Linked DNA regions of Oreochromis niloticus. Each later gene encodes a partner of the first gene's protein in a complex. Links are inferred from orthologs where the notes say so. Each region holds a gene or a part of one and is shown on either strand. Other genes may lie near its edges.

Region 1 (10,409 bases):
GCAAGCTTACAACTACTACGTTCATGTTGCGTCAGTCTCCCACAATGCAACCTTTCCAGAAATAAAGATGAATAATGGACTGAATAATTGTCTGCATTTGGCAACTGAAGTTATAGATACTATATACACTTGCCTGTAAGAAAACCATCCACAGGTAAGTGAGACCTATAATATATACATGACATTCTGGTTAAAGGATTTGCATAGAACCATGTGTTTCTATGTCACTAGACTTATAACTGCAATACTGTATCTGACATTTTGACAGGAGCAACATTTAATTTAAAAAGAAACAAAAAACAAAAAAACCAAGCCCTGCAAAACTCAGACAACAGCAGTTATGGTAGTATTCTCCGTTGTAGCTGGGTCGAGCAACAGATTCCGCGTGATTTGTTTGTGAGTTGAGGCTGAATGAGAGAGAAAAGGCAATTCCATTTGTATGGAAGGAGAAAAGAAGAAGAAAAAAACCGTGGGTGGTGAGACTGGATGCTCCCTGGTATAGTCCCTCTGGTCACTGAAGCAAAATGAAGGGGGCAAGACACAGTTCAGATTTTCCAGGATGGCACTGGACAGCATGAGAAGGTACAGCTGCATTTCTGACAGTCGGGAGAAGGGGAAAGGGCAGTAGTGATGAAGCCAGTGTCACATGAAGTCCTCATAGTCTTGGGCGTAGCCTCCATCAAACGCTGCATAGTCAAGGTCATCTTTGAGCTGTGCTTTCAAACCTCCAGCTAAGACCGCCTTCTTCTTCTTTTTTCCTTTGTTTTGCTGTAGAAGGCAAATAAAAGCAACTTAAAGTAAATACATATATATTTGGAAATGACTATATAGCTACAAACGTTTGCCAGAGGTTTTTTTTATGTTTGGACATCGAGTAAGTATTGGGTGAGTAGCACCCCCTGCTGAATAGAAACTTAATTTCAGCTAATAGTAAATGCAAGCATGCAGTCACTTACTTTTTCTTGTTTCTGTTTTTCACTAAGTAGGACTGACAGGGAATTACTGATTTTCTTCAAGTCATCTACTTCCACTGTAAGAGGAAGAAAAATAAGTAGTTACTGGACAAGCACAGTGCATTTTAAATTTAAGACAAGTGTAATAAAAAATGTTCCGTAAAAGCAGGAAAAAAAGACTTACATGAAATACAAAGTTCCCGAAACAATGACTCCAAGAAACTTGAATAATGCACAGATTTTTCAAACTGGGTTATCTTTTCTTTTAGCATTTTTTCAAACTCTGTGAAGTCTTCTTTGGAAGATGGACACATGGCATCAATTCCCGTGACACTGTTTGAAGTGCTGCCAACACCTGAAAAGATTTAAAGGTCACCATTACATACATTGATCACAACAAGATGAACAATATCAGGTCTCAAAAATCCCATATCTGTTGTATAAACTTTTGTTAGACATGCTGCAGTTTAAAAAACAAACAAACAAACAAACAAACAAACAAAAAAAACAGTTTACAGCATCAGGAGCACGAAAAACAAATATTTTCCTCAAATCACAGCTTTCCTAAAGCATGTGTAAAGATCTTACTTAAAGCTTCAGCTTTTAGAGTCTACTCTAAACATTTTACAGATAATAGAATGGTGCATTGTTCCTTTGGAGGTGAGGTATAGTATGTGGCATCTACAGCTGAATTACTGGGACATCTGTGTAAAACGTAAAAGCCAAAGGAGTATTTAAGCCTTTTAAGTCTTAGTTAAATGTTAACTACAAGCAACAGCGACTAATGTATTGCAAACTAAATGTATTGCATCAGTTACACAACTTGATTTTGTGGAAGACCTCATGTTCTTGATAAAAAGTTTCTACACCTGATCCGGTCTTACCAAAAGCATCTTTTGCTAGCTCCAAGTCTGCGTCTTCCTGTAATTTCTTCACTCTTAATTTTTCTGCCAGCTGTTCTTCAGGAGTGAGCTGTTCTTCCTGTAAATAAAAATGTAAGAGTTAAGATATTATTAGAGATAAACGAGCATAGAGTCAAAAGGTTTACAGATGAGAAAGTGGGACTTACTTCTTGCTGTTCCATTGCCTCCTGTTGTTTCTTCTTCATCCGGTTTTCTTTCTCTTTTATCTTTTCACTAAGTTTTTTCTTTTCAGAAACCTTTGGCTCTGCAAATTAAAATAATGACATAAGAAAATTAAAATCATTCAGTAATCAAGTATACTCCATTAGTGAAAGGCAAGCGGTACTGGGATACAAACCTGGTTTCTTCACATCTGTTTTTTTCTCTTCATCTTCTTCATCATCGTCCCAGTTGTCCTGTGAACACACAGAACATAATGTGTGTAACTGTTGCCTTTTTATTAATATGTAAGCTAGAAGATGTAAATATATAGACATAGATGTATAATGTAACCAAAAACAAACAAACGACACACATTAATATGGCTTCCCAGAGCCATGCTAAAGCCTTGAAAAGTCTTCTTTTTTTTCTGAGCAACATCTTAACACCTACAGAACTAGACAACTTTAAAAATGTAAGTCAAAGGCTGCAATCAGTCAGAATGTTTATTTTAAAATAACAAAAAATCCAAACTTTTTAAAACATAAAATTATCACTTATCGATATGCAACAGCTGCCACTTCATTTTCTGAAGATGAATAACTTTTGTTCTACCTCTAGTTCAAATTATTCTAGTCCTGATTACACTGGCGTAGATGTATATAAGCTGGATCGATCAACGTTACTGATCCAACAAGGGTAATTACTGTGTTACGGTACCAGGATAAAGAATAAAAATAGTACAGTCTACATTAAAAAACTGAAAGTACCACATGCACACAGTGAGTGCTTAATACTGTGTAATAATGCAGAACTTGTATATATTAAACAGTGATTAAGAATCAAAAAATATAACAACATTAAAGTTTAAGATTCTGTAATTCATGACAATGAGTTACGAGTTATGACATCAGTGTTAATTTATTAATTTATAGGTGATGACTCTTCAGACATCACTGGGGTTGTGATCCTGTAGATTGCTGTCTTATATTAAGATCCACCTTAAGTGTCACTACAAATAAATGTAATCCAATCCAAGAAGATACTAATTTCTAACTGAAATATCCAAGACTTTAAACTGTGAATTACTACACAATAAACATTTGACAACCGGCCTGTTGCATTTCCAGCAGGTTATGAACAACAACAACAGCAGCTCTGGAAATAAATTTAATTATCTTGAGTAAAAATTAACTTTGTGCTATTGTCTGATTTCCACAAAAATCTTAACCCTTCTTCCTAAACAATGACCATTTTGTACTACAGAGGACATAAAACCATCAGGCTCTTCAGTCTGGACGCCATATGCGACAGAAAACGGGAGAACTGAAGAGGCCTCTGCCAGCACTTTCCACAGGATCAATTATCTGAGGCTTCTGGACAGAGACCGTGCCAGTTTTCACGTAGCAGCTACCTGTATTACGGTATCAGCTGAACAGCGGCTTCCTACTGCCTGCTGTAAAGTCGGAAAGTTCCAGGCCTAGTTCTTGGCTGAGTTGAGTCATCAACCCAGTGGATGATTTCATCTGAATGGGGCTAAAGTTGGTTAGCACGCTAACGCCGCCTCATACTCAACGTGACTCAAGCTGTGGGTTTGCCAGAGTAGACATAATTATGCTAATCTCCAATAATCGTTTAATGCAACTAAATCTGTGCAATAATGGGATGGACCTGTATATTAGCAACACATGAACAAATCACTCAATACTGAGGTCACCCAACATTAAAGCCTATTTACAGACGCAACAATACACGAGAGCTAGCAGACTAGCTAGCTCAAGTGGCCCGTCCGGTGAGAGATTAGCTTCAAGCACCGCTATCAAAATTCATGACGCCAAGAGAAGTAGAAAACACTACTAGCGTCCAAAAATTTGATTAAACCTATAAGTATGAACTGGCACGCCGTTATTCAGTTTGTTAACAGTACGTTTGAATGACTGAAACTCGAATACCAGCATACTGTTAGCTGAGCTAGAGTTTCCAGAGGCTGCTTGTTGGAGCCACATGAGTTAGCATAAGCTAACAGGGGTTCGGAGGTTCGGACTGACAGGCGGCGAGAAACCACGACGAAGCGTGGCATTACATCCTGTCGCTTGCTCGGTCAGCTAACAGCTCGCAAACAACCGGTGGCAGATTTTAAAAAGCGGCTCAGACTATACCGAGTGTTCGTCACGATATTTTACCTTAACATCTTCATCTTCGTCCTCGCCTTCCCATTTGTCCAGCGCTGCCGCCTTTTTAATCGGTTCCTCCGGCTCGAAGTTGTCAGCGTCTGTAAAAACAACAACATGAGAGTCGTTAGGTCAGTCCACATCTGACACCTGGAGTTAACAATGAGAGGTGTATTAGGCCCTTAAAACAGCGAGTGCGACAAGTAAATGTTGTACAGATAGCCATCCTTCCCAACTTAGTTTCTCACCCCAGTCCGCCATGTTGGCTGTGTTGCTTGTGTTTGACAGGCTCGCTGTACAGTCAGTGCTGCAGCCCGTTGGCCACGTTCAGAAACAGCTCCCACCTTCTGGGCGGCACTCCGGCCTTATCTAACGTCCACGGAGCACTTTCAGCACAACGACCCCGATACAACTAATCTCATCACGCCTTTATTTATTTCAATTGTAAACATGAGACGCTACAAGCAAGCTGAAGCCAAGTTCCACGCATTTTTAAGTCGAGCATTGTAAAATAAATGTGTTAAAAGTACATTTTACATCATTCTTACATAAAGAGTCAAAACCTATTCTTAATCTCTTTTGGATACATTTGGATACACTACATATTATTTTAACCGAAGAAAAAATAATTAATTAATAGCCTTAATTTAACTGAATCTCATAAGGGAGTATAATAAAGTATATACATTAAAAATTGTTTTTTAATCATTCTTGTCGAGAAAGTGCAGTACCTCAGATGTATGATATTAATGGGAATTGAAATGGAAATGGTGATCAATAATTCCTCAGTGATATATTAAAATAAATAATATTTTTGAAGGATCAAGGTCGAGCTGGAAAGGATGTGCAGCGGGTTAGGGTGACTGAGGATAGAGATGGAAATGTAGTAATGAATAAAGTTTACTGAGAGAGTGGAAAGGCTACTTTGAGGAGCTCATGAATGACGAAAATGAAAGAAAGTTGAGGATGGATGGAGGGCAGTGAATGAGGAAGCAAGGAAAACTATAAATAGGATGAAGAGTGAAAAGGCAGTTGGTCCAGATGACATAACTGTGGAGGAGACATCCGGGAGAGGGGGCAGTGGACCAGATTAGAGAGTGAGAGGATCCCTGGGGGATGGAGAAGAAGTGTACTAGCACCCATTTTTAAAAATAAGAGTGATGTACGACCCCTAAACGAGGCAACCGAAAGAAGAAAAGGAATTCTTTATACGACCCTTGCAAATGTGATTAGTATCCAGTTACCCATTGCAAAAAATCTAGTTTCATACACTCTTTCTGTTTCATCATCAGTGATCATAATTTTGACTTCATTCCTTATTTGCCTGTTACTGAATATGATAGCTGTGATTTATTGATAATTTCAACTACATTCAGAAGCTATTCCAAACCTTTTTTTCCTACGGTATAAACAGAAAAAAAACCTCACAATGAAACCAGAGTTATTATTTATTTGCACACAGTGGTATCTATCAGTGTGGTAACTATTTAACCAGGAATGTGCCACCCCTTTGATACCGTTATCTCCAGCTTTATCTTTAGTAATCTGTCATCTGTAGTGTCAAATGCTTTTTGAATGGTGAACAGAGCTGTGGGTAAAACTACAACAATAACAAGCAATAAAAAGAGCCAATCAGAGGTAGATTGGTTCAGTTTATTGATCATTTAGAGTCATTTTAATCACACCACAAAGTGTGCACAACAGTACAAAACTCACAGCAACAACAGACCAAAGTTGATCAATACTAGTACAATCAGGCCCTACTAGGTATTGTTTTGTAATCAAGATAACTCAAAATAGACAGATATATAGAAAGTGTTATCACTATTACTCACATAAATCTATAGTTCCCCAAAAATAAATAACTTTGTACATTTGCAACAGATTTCTTTCGTAATAACTGCACAACAATTATATTTTAACCTTTATCATTTTTAAGTATTATTTCTAGGTATGGCATCCCTGAGAAGGATATATATGGGAAAGTAAAGTGTTTAGATAGGTTTGTACAAAAATAAATAAATAGTCTAGGATCTGTGGGTATTAGATAGATTTGCTGATTAAAACAAACAGCTCTTACTCTCTCAAACTTTGTTCTTTCACTGCTAAATGTTGATGCTAAAGTAATAGTTATACAAGATCAATTACAGTGTTGCTAAAAAGAGTATGGAAAGCTTTAAATGCTGTTTATTTCAAAGAAATACAGCATTGTGCAGACAGACAATCATCATGTAGAAGAGGGGGTCTCCTGATTCGGCTGGGGTGAACGAGGTCATGTGTCAGGGCAGAGCAGGACGGTCAGCAGCATCAGCAGTCCCGATAAGAGACACAGGGGGCTGTGGCTCAACGCCAACCCCAGTGACCTCCCTGCAGGAATTCAGCAAAAGCATTACAAATGTAGAGCTATGCAAAAATATAGTTCAGGCAGATTCATATCACGGTAGGCACTCTCTCCACACCTAGAGTATCCATGCATAGCATATCTAGCAAGGCATAATGTTCATATGTTAGATAATGTTAGAAAAGAAAGCACACTGGAAACATCTACAAGTACAATGAGAATAAAGTGCTGAAACCAGCAAGGAAACAACAGCAGCTATCGTCAGCCTTGATTTTGGGAGTCAAATTACAGTAATAATTTATACACTCACGGGTCACTTTATTAGGTGTAGCTTGCTAGTACTGGTTTGGTCCCCTTTTGCCTTCAGAACTGCCTTAATTCTTAATTCCTCACAGATTTTGGTCTATACTGACATGATAGCATCACACAGTTGCTGCAGATTTGTTAGCTGCACATCCATAACGCGACTCTCCAGCTTTACCACATCTCAGTGGTGTTCTACTGGATTGAGAGCTGGTGACCTCCTCCTGCTGGAAGCTGCCATCAGAAGATTGTACACTGTGGTCATAATGGGATGGATGTAATGAGCAACAATACTCAGTCAGACTGTGGTGTTTAAATGATCCTCACATGGTACTAAGCGGCTCAAAGTGTGTGGAAAAATGGGCAACAGGAGCAGAAAACTGAGGCTAAAATTCACACGGGGTCATCCAATGGTGTGATAGATATATTTCCGTAGCACACTTTGGGCAGGTTAGTACCAGCTAAGCACACCTACCTGAGTATTGTTGTTGATGTGTCATGTTCACCCCATTATGACCACAGTGTATCCATCTTCCGATGGCTGGTTCCAGCGGGGTAATGCACCATGTCACAAAGCTGAAATCATCTCAAACTGGTTTCTTGAGCATGACAATGAGCTCACTGCACTAAGACACCCTCCACAGACACCAGATCTCAATCCAATGAAGCACCTTTGGGATGTGGTGGAACAGGAGATTGTGCAGTCTGCAGATCTGGAGCAGCTGTATGATGCTATCATGTCAATATGGAGCAAAATCTCAGAGGAATTAAGAAATAAGGCAGTTCTGAAGGCAAAAGTGGATCCAACCTGATACTAGCAAGATGTACCTAAACTAGCATAAAACTTTGGTTAGAGTTTTGATAAGGGCGATTATATTTTCATCAGATAAAGCGATTAATGCATAAAGAAGACAAATCAAGTTTAATGGTCATCAGTGGACAGCACTGATTCAGGTTTTACCTCTGAAGTCTACAGGCTTATCGTCCCAGGGTGTCAGCACCATAGCTAGAGCTGTTTTCTGGAGGTCTGACAGAACAGAGCGCTGGTTATCAGTTACTGCAACAGCCTGCTCGTAGGAGAACATGGCAATCTTTTCCTGGGAGAATACCACCTTTTGAAAACAACAAAAAAAACACGGCGGGTGGGATTTATTTAGAGAGATAAATTAAAGACATGATAAAGATTTGTCAAGATGGACGCAAAAACAGGAATACATTTTTTTTATTGTAAGAAACAAATGTTACTAAAAATTATGTACTTTTTACACATATCTAAGTGTAGTTTAGCTCACCTTGGTATTACAATAATGGGCCCTGACCAGTGAAACTAATCTTTCTGTCAGTGACAAGAAGGTTTACTACCAGTTTAATCTCTGACATAATATACTGTGGTGTAGTATGGATTGCTGTGGGAGAGTTTGTCATTAGCAGGAAATGCTGTAAAAGTTATTACAACACATTTAAAAGTCCAAAATAATATTTCCTCCTTCACATTTTCTAAAGCCGTCCAGTTGGCCGGATTGGAGTCTTTGTTGGTTCATTTCTGGCCCCCGTGCCTTATGTTTAACACCCATGATATGGTTGGTTTAATTAAATCTTGACTCACAGCAAACTTTTCTTGTGGCATCATTGAGATAGCCAAAGGTGCAATTCCCTCAATTTGCTCTTTTACCAGCGCTGACATGGCCATGTCTGGGATACCCACTGAAAAACAAGCAAAATGTTCCAGTGAAACAGAGCAAAGGGTGCTAGAATCAATGAATCAAATGCTTTTACAGCAAAGCATAGAGGAAAACAAAATGTCTTTGATTTAAATCTCTGACCTGACCACACATTAAGGCAGATGTAGGACTATGCATAGTACATCTAAAATTCATGTGGCAAAGACAATGAATAGACAATACCTGCCAGGACTCCGATCTCAATGAACACATCGGTGCCCCAGGAACTCATGAGTCCAAAAGCGAGGCTGTGGGTTAGCAGTTCAACAAGAGCTTGCAGCTGCTCCTCTGAGCAGGACAGCCTGAGCCGACCCAGCCTGAGAACCGCCTTACTGCAGCCATCAGAGGGAGACAAAGTACAAAGTAAATTCAAGTGTCAAGCTGGGCTTGAAAAAAAATTTAAGCATTTTCCGATACTGTGCGCACCTGAGCTCTATAGGATTGAAAGACCTCATCTCTGTGGCTTTAGCGCCACACACAATGTATCCCATTGCCACCAGAGTGCTGGAGTCAAGCTGGCTCGGATTCTGCTTGGTGGAGCTTAACACGGTAGAAAACAGTGTGGCCAGCTAGGACGACAACAAGTTATAAACCAGTCTAATACAGCACAGTAATGCCACAGCTGGTATTATTCTTATCAGATGAAATAAAAACTGCCCAAAAGACAAAGCAATTTTGATGTAACATGTAAATATTTGAGCTGCAGTGACTAAAGTACTTACCTGTCTGCTATTCCAGTCACTGACTGTGCCCAGAGCGGCAATGCTTCTCCGCTCAGTCAGTCGAATGGCATTCAGCTCGTCTAATGATAGCTGTGTCGCTATTACACCGAGCTGAGAGATGACAGCCTGGGAGAAGGAGGAGACTGGGCCATATATCTTCATGTATTAGCATTAATACAGAGAGGCCCGGAGCAAAGACAGAGCAGAGACAATATGAAGACCTGAAAACTTTGGTAATCATCAAATGAAACACATGTAAGAGGTTTTTGTTGGACTGACTCAGATTAACAATCAGTCTGACCTGTTTGACTCTCCTGAGCACTTCAGTGCGTTGGTAGGATGCAAGGAACGGGTCGTGACCCATCAGCTCCAGACAGTTGGAGAAGGCAGATGAAGACATGCTAGTCAAACTGCTGGAGAGCCAAACGGAGGGGGCTGTTGTATGCAAAATCTCACAAGTAGGAACCATTGGAGTCACTGGCCAGCAAAACACACAAACACATGATCAGGAGATTATCTATGAAAATGGGTCAGCAATGTAACCATGGCTTAGTTTGAAGTTGTCAAGGTTTTTGGTTTTCTGAAAAGTATTAGCCAAAGTCTTTCTGAACAATTTAATTCAAGAAGCTCATTTTCACTGTTAGAAGATCAGTTCTGCTGCTATAAAAGTCAATTTGCAAAGAAATTCATATGCACAAATGTACTGCGCTTTCAGCTGTACCAAACGACTATAATGCAATCAATGTTTAGAAGTATAACAAGTCCCCCAAAACAATGGTTGGGTTAATAACTCAGTTTTTTGGGACCACTGTTTCAGTTCATTTTCCAGTCCTTACTTAGAGGGGATAAAACAATTTTTTTTTCATCAAGCCTGGTCACGTGATCGGATTATAAACAAAAAATAAACATTATCATTCTGATGTATTACCAATTCACTTACTACCTTATTCATACTTAATAAACAGCTTCACAAAGCTATATTAACTACCCCACTGCCTATTTTTCATTCATTCATTTTGCCCCCCCCCCCAGTATGACTGCATAACAGACTATATAGACTTTACATAGCATAAAAAGCTGAAAGAAAAGGTGGATGGTTTTTTTTTCCTAATTTCCTACTTTAATTAAAACAAGGCA
Region 2 (9,931 bases), on another chromosome or scaffold:
CATATTTTCCCATTCAGAGACATTATGAATGATTGCTTACCTCCTCAAACTTGTGGATCTGTCTGATGAAAAAGTCTCCATACCGACGAGCGACTTTGGTGTCGGCAATGTGGATCATGTCCTGTGGGAAAAATGCCATCAAATATAAAGTACAACAAGCCACATCCACGTATCTAACCTCTGTAAAACTTAATGTATTTAAATCTTATGCTTAATTTTACCCGAACTAAACACCAGAGGCATTCCTCGGAGCCATCCAGCCCTGTGACATGCTATTTAAACAGCAGCACAGAAACATCAAAACGAGCACTTTCATTTAAAAGATATTCACCTTGTCAATGTAAAAGTCGACCTCAGAGGCAGACTGGAACTCTCCGTCCAGCGCTGAGATGCCGCTGGTCCACACCAGATTCTTCATCTTGTGTTTGAAGACGAGCAGCTGAATGCGGAACTCCTGCTCTGTCATGTCCAGAAAGCCGGCCAGCTTGGCTACTGGCATGGTTGTGTACAGCTTCAAGAAGCTACAATGACATATTGTGATTTAGATGACATATATAAGCACTCAGACACAATCTAATAGTTCATGTAAAGGATTTAAATATGTAAAGTGTGGCAAAACGTTTGGAGGAGATTCAGGACATTTTTGTACATAATTCCAGCTTTTACAGGTAAAACTACAACCTCCACATACTCACAAGTTGGTGGACTCACCTTCGAATGGTGGAGAGCTGGGCCTGCTGCTGCACCTCCTCAGCAAAGACCTTCAACTGCTGTTGAAAAGGTTCTTTGTGGTAGTTCGGGTGGACGTTGTCGTAGTTTGGCACTACAGGTGACAAGAACTTGGGACAGGCAAAGCTGAACAGCTCCTCGAACACCTGCAGATCTCTGAGATGGTAAAAGTAACATTTGTGTCAAAAGAAATGTTTGAGGCTACGAGCACAAATGCTGATGAAGTCATACATTACTGATTCCATATCCCATAAGCAAAGCTCCACATTTTATATAACATTCTACATAATACAAAATCATAACAGTAAAACAGAAAAGGACTGACGCACAACTTAAACAAATATGTTGTAAAGCAAGGCAGTGAGTGTAGGTCTTACCCCTTTTGCATGCGGAGCATCTTATCTCCGTACTTCTCCCTCAGCTGGGTGTGGATGCTCTCGTCGATGCGCATCGGGTACATGGTCAGAGCGATAGCCAGCAGGCCGTGCATCTGCTCATTTTGTTTGTTAATCTGAAGAAAACATACAGGTATTATGACACCTGTTCCGAACATAATACTGTTTGATCATCCAACACAATGAGAGTGCCTGATTATTATTCATGTGTCAAAGCGTTTTAAAGCAAATCAACGCATCCCAAATGTTACTGTCTGAAGTTCTCTCACCATGTTCTGTACAGACATAAGTAAAAGAACCCACAGCTAAAGATAAGACAATGTCTAAAAACCACTGCTGTTACTGACCATCTCATATTTATACGTTGACCTCTGGAACATGTTTCTTGTTCTCTGGATATAGAGCAGGATGTTAGCAAAGACTCGAATGGCATCCTGGTAGCGCCTCATCATAAGGTAGGCAAAACCCACATAGTAATATGTGGTGATTTGGCACTCTGGAACACGCGAGTACATACTCTGAAAGACAGGCAAAAGAAAATATGCAGAAATATGAATTACAGAGCAAACGAGCAGTTTCTTTTTTTAATGTTTAATTTCAACAGATCAACCAAACTTTTTTATTTGTGGCTACAAAGGTTGATTTAACAAAAACTTTGAGATGAAATGAACTATTTGACTCTGTGCTACTGAAGAACTGAGAACTTTGAATTATGTATTTACTTTACAATGTTAGTATCATAATTGTTATTCATTGTTAATGTGTCAGGTAAATTAATGAGTTCCTTCTTTTTTACTGCAACTTCACTTTGCCCACATTAAATTTCATGAGCATAAAGACTGATAAAGCAGAAACTGTGCTGAGTCAAATTATCAAAAGAATCCTCGGAGAATATCGTTTGTTTGATTTAAATTAAAAACATCAGTATCTGTCAGCATTGTATCAAACCTTCTAGGACAAGAGGAAACAACAACATATTTCCATATAGACACCCAATCCTAGCGCTCATCATCACCATTGGAGCAGACCAGACCTCTCTATACATGAGGTCTTAAATAAGGTCGTACCTTCTTATTGAGCTCAATGTTCTCCAGGACTTTGATGGCCTGGTAATAGTCACCAAGCAGAGAGTGAAGCCTCAAAAGCCCGACCAAGCTGAAGTAACCCAACATCTTGTACAGGGAGTGACGTCCATATTCTCCAGCCACGCTTTCTGGGTCTCCTGCATTACAAGAACACATAACATGTTCACGACCTATACAATCCTGGATTTTAAAGCCTTAAATTGACATAATTCAAGATTTTAAAGTAATTAGGTTTCTAGAAACACTCCATCTTTTCTATAAATATCATAAAAAACACTGTTCTTTACCTCCACTCGTGTAGACCTCAAGCTGACGGTTGATGTTGCTCTTGTCCACCAGGGAGTGGAGAACATTGAGGACACTGTGGACGTTCCAGATCTTCGGATTGCTCCTCAGGAATTCAATTTCCTCTTCAGACTTTTTGGCTGTCTTACAGCGGTACTGACTGAATGACTGAAACTGAAGGTGGAAGAGATGTCTGTTAGTGGATTTTAAATATGCTTTCTAGCCACGTGGACTAGTGATCATTAAAGACCACGAATATCTTCATTAATATGTCACCTATCTGGTGCTTAAAGCAATGATAACATTAACAACAACAGCTATCAGCCCTTTTCTTTATTTTGATCTTATTGATTGTTGAGCATGCACTCTAAAAACACTGTAATGTACCTGGTAGATAAACTCATCAATGATGTCCCAGAGCCACTGGTTTGGCAGCTCCAAGGGGGCCGGCCCATCAGCATCTGTTTAGAGTCAACAATGATCTCATTAAGCTGCTGTTCTTGCACTAACAACAACGGGTAAGAGAAAATGTATGGACAATTTGTGCTACTTACTGAGAATGTAGTTGAAGAGGTTGCAGTAATTGTAGTAGGACTCAAATCTCTGGTCCAAAGTTGGTCCACCCTGATTATACAGAAAATACTTTTTTCAACCAAATTCTAGAAAGTTTTTTGGACACTGATAAAAAAGACCCAGACAACTGTTCATATTTAGCAGCTACTCACGCTGACTTTAGCGTAGATGTGTCTGTAATAGAGTTCCTTGTAGAGAATGAGAAACACGGCATCTGCAAAACACAAGAGACAAAAACAACATGAAACATCTCCACTGAACCACACAAAGGAGGCCTAAAACTTTTATAAAATCTTAAATATACAAAATAAATAATAATAATAATCTTAAGCGGTGCAAGTTTATCTTTTTTTTTTTTAAATCACACTCAAACAATAAAGAATAAAAATGATACTATCCATACAAAATCAAAAGTAGAACAAGTAATGGATAACGCTCTCACCATTGCCAACAAGTGATGCAATGGCCTCAGCCTCTGGCCAGGGAGAGGTCTTGAAGAAACGGTCAGTCAACTTGTTCCAGCTGAATGGGCAAGAGCATGAAAAGGTCAGCATATTAATCTCACACGGTGTGAGAGTTATGTGCACAGAGTTAACTTTACCTGTTTTCATAGACGTCCTGGATCTCGTAGATCTTCTGCTCAATGCTCTCACTAGACACCCGGTTGGACTGCAGCTCATAAACCTTCTGGTCAATCAAGTCAGAGATGGTTTTGTGGAAATACTGCAGAAAGTTCTTGATCACCTCTGGGATGACATGGTAGGTCTGCTGCTCATACTGCCTCTCGTAGGCAAGGTCTGCTTTAGGGTCACCTGCAAGGAAAATTAAAAGAATATCCTTTACTCTCCTCTAAAAGTTACTTATGTTGTGTATGTTTGTGTCTGTGTGTTATACACTGACTGACTAAACAAGAGGATTGTATCTGTAAATATTGATAGTATGAGTATAAAAGGGATGGTTATTTGTATACTTACCAGTGTGCAGATCGTAGTCGTTTGTGTAGGAGTAAGGATCGTACTGTAAGGAAACAAAGCAATCGGGCATTTGTTACTGATACAGCATCTGATATTGATACATCTGCCCAGCGAGAAGCGACCAACTGATCGATTATATAGCGATATTTTATAATAATAAAAATGCACTAAAAAGAGTTACAGACAATTAGCTAGTTGTCCAGGTTGCATTTTCTTAAAGCAGGGGTTAAGAGTAAATTTATATCACACTAACTCATTGAAGCCACTGTTATACTATGCCGGTGGAGTCGAGCTAGCTACACAGCTACCTAGCTAACAGTGTGTGTTACCTAGCTAACAGTGTGCCATTGTTATTGTAGTCAAAACGTTAAAATGTCTGAAGGAGTAAATGTGTACTTACATCCTCTTCGTCGTGGTATGACATTGTATTAGCTATTAGTTCAAGCTAGTTTAGATGCTGGAGTGAAAAAGGAGAATGTATGCTCAATTAGCTACCGCCGCTAAACCACGCAGCTGGCGGTGGAGAGACGAGAAGAAGCGGAAGGAAGTAGCTGTGACGTAGGAGTGACACGCATTGTTATTGGAGCACTGTGGGAAATTGAGTTTGTTGTTCACCAAGAGAAACACTCGATTCTCAAACTTTCGCATGTCTCCTCTAAAAGCCATTTCAAACAAAAAAAGATGTAGAGGGTGGTGAATTTAAAAACGAATAGCCATTTCTTTCCACGTTTTTTCTTCTTAAGTTTCTCGTAGGGAATGATACCTATGTAACTGAGAACAAGAGCAAGCTAGGGCTCTGATTAGGGTTTCATAAATGTATTTTATGAACCTCATTGTTTTGCTAGTGTCTGTTCGTGACACGGCATCTGTGTATTTGTTTACAGCTGTGCTTTTTACTCACCATAATGTATTGTAAAGATGTCTAATGATACTAATTAGGCTACACCAGTTTTGACCAAACATATATTCGGGAAACAAACGGACTCTTGGCGAGAAATACCTTTCTACTGAAGGGGTTCTTGTGCAGGTACTGAAAAACAAACAACCAAGAGGAACAGATATAATTTGATATAGGCCCTATGTTCTTATTTGTCAAGTTTCTTTGATTCCTGCACAAAAAAATGTATGTTGAAAACTCAGCCTAATTTTTCTCGTGGAGAATAAAATAAACTTGTGGAGAATACGTTACGCAGAGTTCTGGCAAACGCAAAAGTCCGAACTGATGTGTAGAATTTCGAAATCCCCGACAGCTATTTGACCATATGGAGTGTATTGAGCAGACTGTGAAGACTATCATCTACCATTAGGTGGCGTTATAGTCGTAGTGGGACGCTCTGAAACGTTGCACTAGTGGCCGTGGACTCGGCGAATGGAGAGTTATTGGGAAGAAATTGCAAACTGGTTCGTGCTCATACAGCATATAGTTACAAAGCTGAGAAAGGTTTAATACAATATGGCCAATAAATATGCTATTTTGTCTTATATGTGTGATCAAAGGGACATATTGTTAGATTATTTTACTTTTGCCAAAATATTTGTTATTCTAGGCGCCGCTTGTTTTTTTAATCTGTATTGTGTGAAACTCAGGGGCTTGTCTAACTTTGTTTTGAGAATTGTATATAGCCGTATAATCAAAACTTTAAATGTGATTGTGTATGCGTCCATCAGAACGAAAATTTATTTGCTGATCCACCTAGCAGACACTTTCTGACCCCTTCCTGCGTTTTCTCTTCACTGGGGTTGAGCATCCTCACACCACTTTCTTACGTAAAGAAAAGAATACCTGACGTGTTTGACTCAACTACCAGCAGCTGACGGCGTAAGCTTACGCCTACCTGACTGACTACCGGCTGGGGAACCGCCTGCATCCGATAAGGGATCTAGTCCACAGAATCAAGTGTAGCAGAAAGGGGGTGTGGAGAAACGAAGTTGAGTTAAAGAGAGGGAGAAAGAGACACCGAGGGAGGGGAAAAGGTCAGGGACACGGGGGGGTTTATCGGACTGCCAGAAATAAGGAGCGTGTCTACACAAACGGGCTGGCAGACGAAACCAAGGAAACGACGTGAAATACACCACCGACCCCCAGTGACTTCTTCGAAAGGACTGGTGCGGATTTTAAACTATTTTTGACTTTTCCCATAGACAGTTTTGCGCCTAGGTGAACTCCTACCAACACGATTTTGGACCGCGCGTAATTTGGAGAGTATATTACCACGCTGCGTCAGGATGCGCATCTGTCCACTGCTGGTCTTCCTCTGTCTACAGTGCGCTGGAGGCGTTCAGAAGTTCTCCGCTCTCAGGGTATGAGGAGGCACTTAACTCCCGGAATGAATGTCATTCAATTTCATGAGTAAAAGATGTTTTAAATGGAAAGGATGTGCATGTGCTTTCTATGAATAAAATTCCAAAATTCACAATCTGGAAAATATTTTTAATATAAAAGAAATAGTTCCTACGCACCCTTTTCTTAAAAGTCAAGCTTCTTGTGATCTATTTAGTCTAAGAATCTGAAATAATAAAATATTCAATACCGATAATGACGCATTTGAAGTCAATTACTACTACACTCTGCCACATTCTTACACTGAAGTCTGAGTCTGAGGTTATCTCACTCTAAAAGAAGTGGGCTGTATTAGTTGAATGTTTTATATGTGGCAGAAATCCATTTTAGAGCTCAAGAGAGCATCAAGTAGAGCTGTGCACGGAGAAAATGGCTCTGTGTTTTTTGTCAGTCATGTAAACTGAGCGCCACAGCTTTTCAGAGTGTTGGCACAGCAAAGGCTATAGGTTTGTAAGCAGTTGGCTGGTGTGCAGCAGATCCTTTGCAGGTTTGGTTTTGCTGCTGTAACCTGCCTGCCAGCTTCTCGGCTCTGCTGCCTTTCTGTCTGGTTTGCTCCTGTTGTTCTAGTTGCTCTTCAGAGGCTGAGCTGCCGGGATCTTCTGCATTAAAGCACATGGCATTGTTTACAGCAGCATCCTCTCCATCTTACATTAAACTCTGACAGAAAGTGCATCTTCTGGGGAATTTCATGGCCATGATCAAGTGCAGGTACAGTGGTAAAGGACACTTAATAGAGAGTGGAATGTGCATTGTCAGAGGCTCCCCCTTTTGATTTAGAGGCTGATGTGACAGCCACCTCTCCCAGCACCAGTATTTATGGTTCTGGAGAAGATGCCTCGGTATCCAATTGGAAACAAATGGCCATGAGTTGTTAACCTTCAGGTGAAGGGTCGGAGATCCTTTCTCCCTGACGGCACTACAGAGTTGTGGAATGTGGGAGGAAGCGTTGTACTGGGCAGATGCTTCACTGAGTTGATACACACAAACACACACACAGACCAAGGCTACAGATAATTAGTGTGAGGAGTATTTCTCTATATGTGACATGGTTGATACCATTTACCTGTCATTTAATAGAAAGGTTACACGGGTGTAGCTGTGTTTGTGGTTGTTTGGATATGACACATTATCTGCTGTGCTCTGGAGACGAGTGTAAGAACGAGAAACTTCTCTACTTTGTTGCGTGCCTCAGTTTAATTTTGTTTCATATTGTGTGCCATACCTCCCAACACGGGCTAATCAGACTGTCTTTAGTAGTATAACTTTCTTTTACAAAGAAGGTTGCAAGTGATTAATGGCTTATTGTTTAACATATACAGGAGAGACCATTACTGGTTAAAAGAAAATGTCTTCATGTTATATTTTGTGCATATTTGAGGTCAGACAGGCAGTTAAATATATGAGATATTTGCCCAGGGTTATTCATGAGACCGATTTTTTCCATTGTTTATGGAAATATGAAATAGTGTGTGAGAAGATGAGGGCACACAGAATAGTGGCTGCCTCATTTTCAAATCTTTATGTAGAATTTTTGATCTAACACGGGCCCTGCTGCCCCCCAAGTGCTTTCCTAAAATTTTCCACCTGCTCAAAGAGGCGGGTTTCTTTATCACATGACTACCACTAGCCTTTTGCAACACCTCCTTTTCTTTTTAACATCTCTCAAAGCAATTAAATCCCTTTTTCCTTTGATTGAGTTAGTAGGCTGGTTAAAGGCTGACACTTTCTTCCCTTTCCACCATGCTGGAAACTAATGATCCCCTTTGCATCCTAGCATCCACGCAGGAAACTCCCGGCAAGGGCATTTAACACGTTTGCCACAGCTCTCAGCTGGGGCCCCCATTGACCCTGTGGGGCTGTGGTGTGAGGGGCCTCTCAAGGCGCTGGAAGCAGGGGCCTCCCAGCCCAGAAGGCTCTTATCAGCCTACAATGCGCTCTCTGCTGGAGGTTCGCCTCCTCCATACCCCATTCAATCCCACAATGCCGTCGAGCCAGGGGGAGGTAATAGGATTTGATTTGTATGCTGGTTGATCTTAGAAAAAAAATTTCCCTTACACTCCACCCGCCTCGCCCTCTCTTGCCTGTCTCTTGTTCTTTTGCCAACCTTCTGTATTATTAGAGCAGATGCAAAAAGCATCTTCCAAGAGAGATCCCACAAAGAACAAAAGAAAAAAAAAATCACGAGAGGCCAAATAAAGAGAAAGGCAAACAGAGAAAGTGAGCGCCAGATGTCTGCAAGTAGACGGGAGTGGGATTTGAGCAATAAATTGATTTGAGTCAAAATGCGTGTTCAGACTTGCACGAGTCTCCTTTTATGATAATTCAGGGTGGAAGTCTGTGCCGCATGTAGCTGAGGCAGAGGCCATCCATCACTCTCCACCATATTCCTGTGCAGGATGATGGTGTCGACTCGGAGAGGCTGGAATGAGACATCAGGGGAGTGTCGGGGCTCTGCCTCAGCCTCACCCATCCATCACCACAGGCAAAAAACACACAGAGATCTGTAGCAGAGAGCTAACTACAATTAGGTGTACACAGGAGGAAGAAGCCCTCAAAGCACCATTAGTCTCTGAAGTTTCTTCCTCTCCCTCACTTTCACATCTTATTTGTTTGCACTTCCTTCAGTGTGGCCAACTTTGAAACGGCTTAGAAATAAATATTCGGATGTCTGAAACTGAGTCTGGGTGGTTGATTTCATGGGTGGCTGATTTCATGATTTCAACTGTGTTTTTCCATGCTGCGTTCTTGGAGCTTCACTGTAAACTTGCTGGAGCTTGGCACTATGCTGTGTGTGCTGGAGAGCAGACTTCTAGCAGGATGCTGGGCCGCTGAATGACTCTGTTTGCGATGTCAGTCTGCTGGCTGGCAGGGGCTAATGCTGGTGTAGTGGGAGTACATTGGCTGTGGCAAGTGCTGGACAGTCACCACCAAGTGGGGTTGGATGCTCTAAGACACCATCAGTGTAGTAACTGGCTTCAGAACTGTCTGTATGTGAAGGGGGAGCTATGAGAGACTTTCGGTGTTGAATAAGTATGCCCTCCTTACCTGTGTGTGAAGCTAGTAGCACTGGAGAGAAGAGGAACAGAAGGGAGGATTGTACTAATGGGACTCTGTCAGTTAAATGCAATGATGCAAATAATTCAAACAGCTGAGAGATACAATGAGGGAGTAGGGGCAGGACATGTACGATCTTGTGTTTATCAAGAGAGCGAGCCAAACACATAAGCAACCAAAAATAGAAACTCTTAAGTGTTTAGTTGAAGACAAAAAGTGCAGATGTTTGTTTCAAATTCAGTCTTGATTTCACTAACATGTTATGAACAGGAATCTTCTGCACAGATCAATTACATTCAGTTTCATTCATATAGCACCAAATTATAACAACCATCACCTCATGGTGGAGAGAAAACTCCAACAATCAGACCAACTCTCCATTAGCAAGCACTTGGCAACATTGGGAAGGAAAAACTCCTTTTTAGCAAGAAGAAATCTATGGCAGAACCAGGCAGCCATCCGCCACAACTGGTTGGGGATAAGGGGAGGAAGACA

Evidence for each region. The genes of interacting proteins can lie anywhere in the genome.
Region 2: eif3jb (region 1) and eif3s6ip share a complex: the UniProt entries of both Homo sapiens proteins name them as parts of the eukaryotic translation initiation factor 3 (eIF-3) complex. The link is inferred for Oreochromis niloticus from reciprocal best matches to the Homo sapiens genes EIF3J and EIF3L.

Annotation. Positions count from the first base shown.
Region 1 is NC_031965.2:18,808,471-18,818,879, forward strand, and holds the start of eif3jb (eukaryotic translation initiation factor 3 subunit J-B), read right to left. Parts: upstream 4,590-10,409; 5' UTR 4,447-4,589; coding exon 4,434-4,446; intron 4,287-4,433; coding exon 4,198-4,286; intron 2,272-4,197; coding exon 2,214-2,271; intron 2,121-2,213; coding exon 2,023-2,120; intron 1,935-2,022; coding exon 1,838-1,934; intron 1,309-1,837; coding exon 1,138-1,308; intron 1,031-1,137; coding exon 957-1,030; intron 769-956; coding exon 643-768; 3' UTR 1-642. Other genes in the region: strc1 (stereocilin), read right to left, coding at 6,458-6,552, 7,791-7,941, 8,436-8,533, 8,734-8,882, 8,977-9,119, 9,273-9,428, 9,574-9,749. UniProt on the Homo sapiens protein: Component of the eukaryotic translation initiation factor 3 (eIF-3) complex, which is required for several steps in the initiation of protein synthesis.
Region 2 is NC_031978.2:25,121,779-25,131,709, forward strand, and holds the start of eif3s6ip (eukaryotic translation initiation factor 3 subunit L), read right to left. Parts: upstream 4,603-9,931; 5' UTR 4,466-4,602; coding exon 4,442-4,465; intron 4,085-4,441; coding exon 4,042-4,084; intron 3,880-4,041; coding exon 3,669-3,879; intron 3,590-3,668; coding exon 3,510-3,589; intron 3,282-3,509; coding exon 3,220-3,281; intron 3,119-3,219; coding exon 3,049-3,118; intron 2,956-3,048; coding exon 2,882-2,955; intron 2,669-2,881; coding exon 2,497-2,668; intron 2,347-2,496; coding exon 2,192-2,346; intron 1,643-2,191; coding exon 1,472-1,642; intron 1,241-1,471; coding exon 1,107-1,240; intron 886-1,106; coding exon 712-885; intron 522-711; coding exon 332-521; intron 122-331; coding exon 41-121; intron 1-40. Other genes in the region: smoc2 (SPARC-related modular calcium-binding protein 2), read left to right, coding at 6,268-6,342. UniProt on the Homo sapiens protein: Component of the eukaryotic translation initiation factor 3 (eIF-3) complex, which is required for several steps in the initiation of protein synthesis.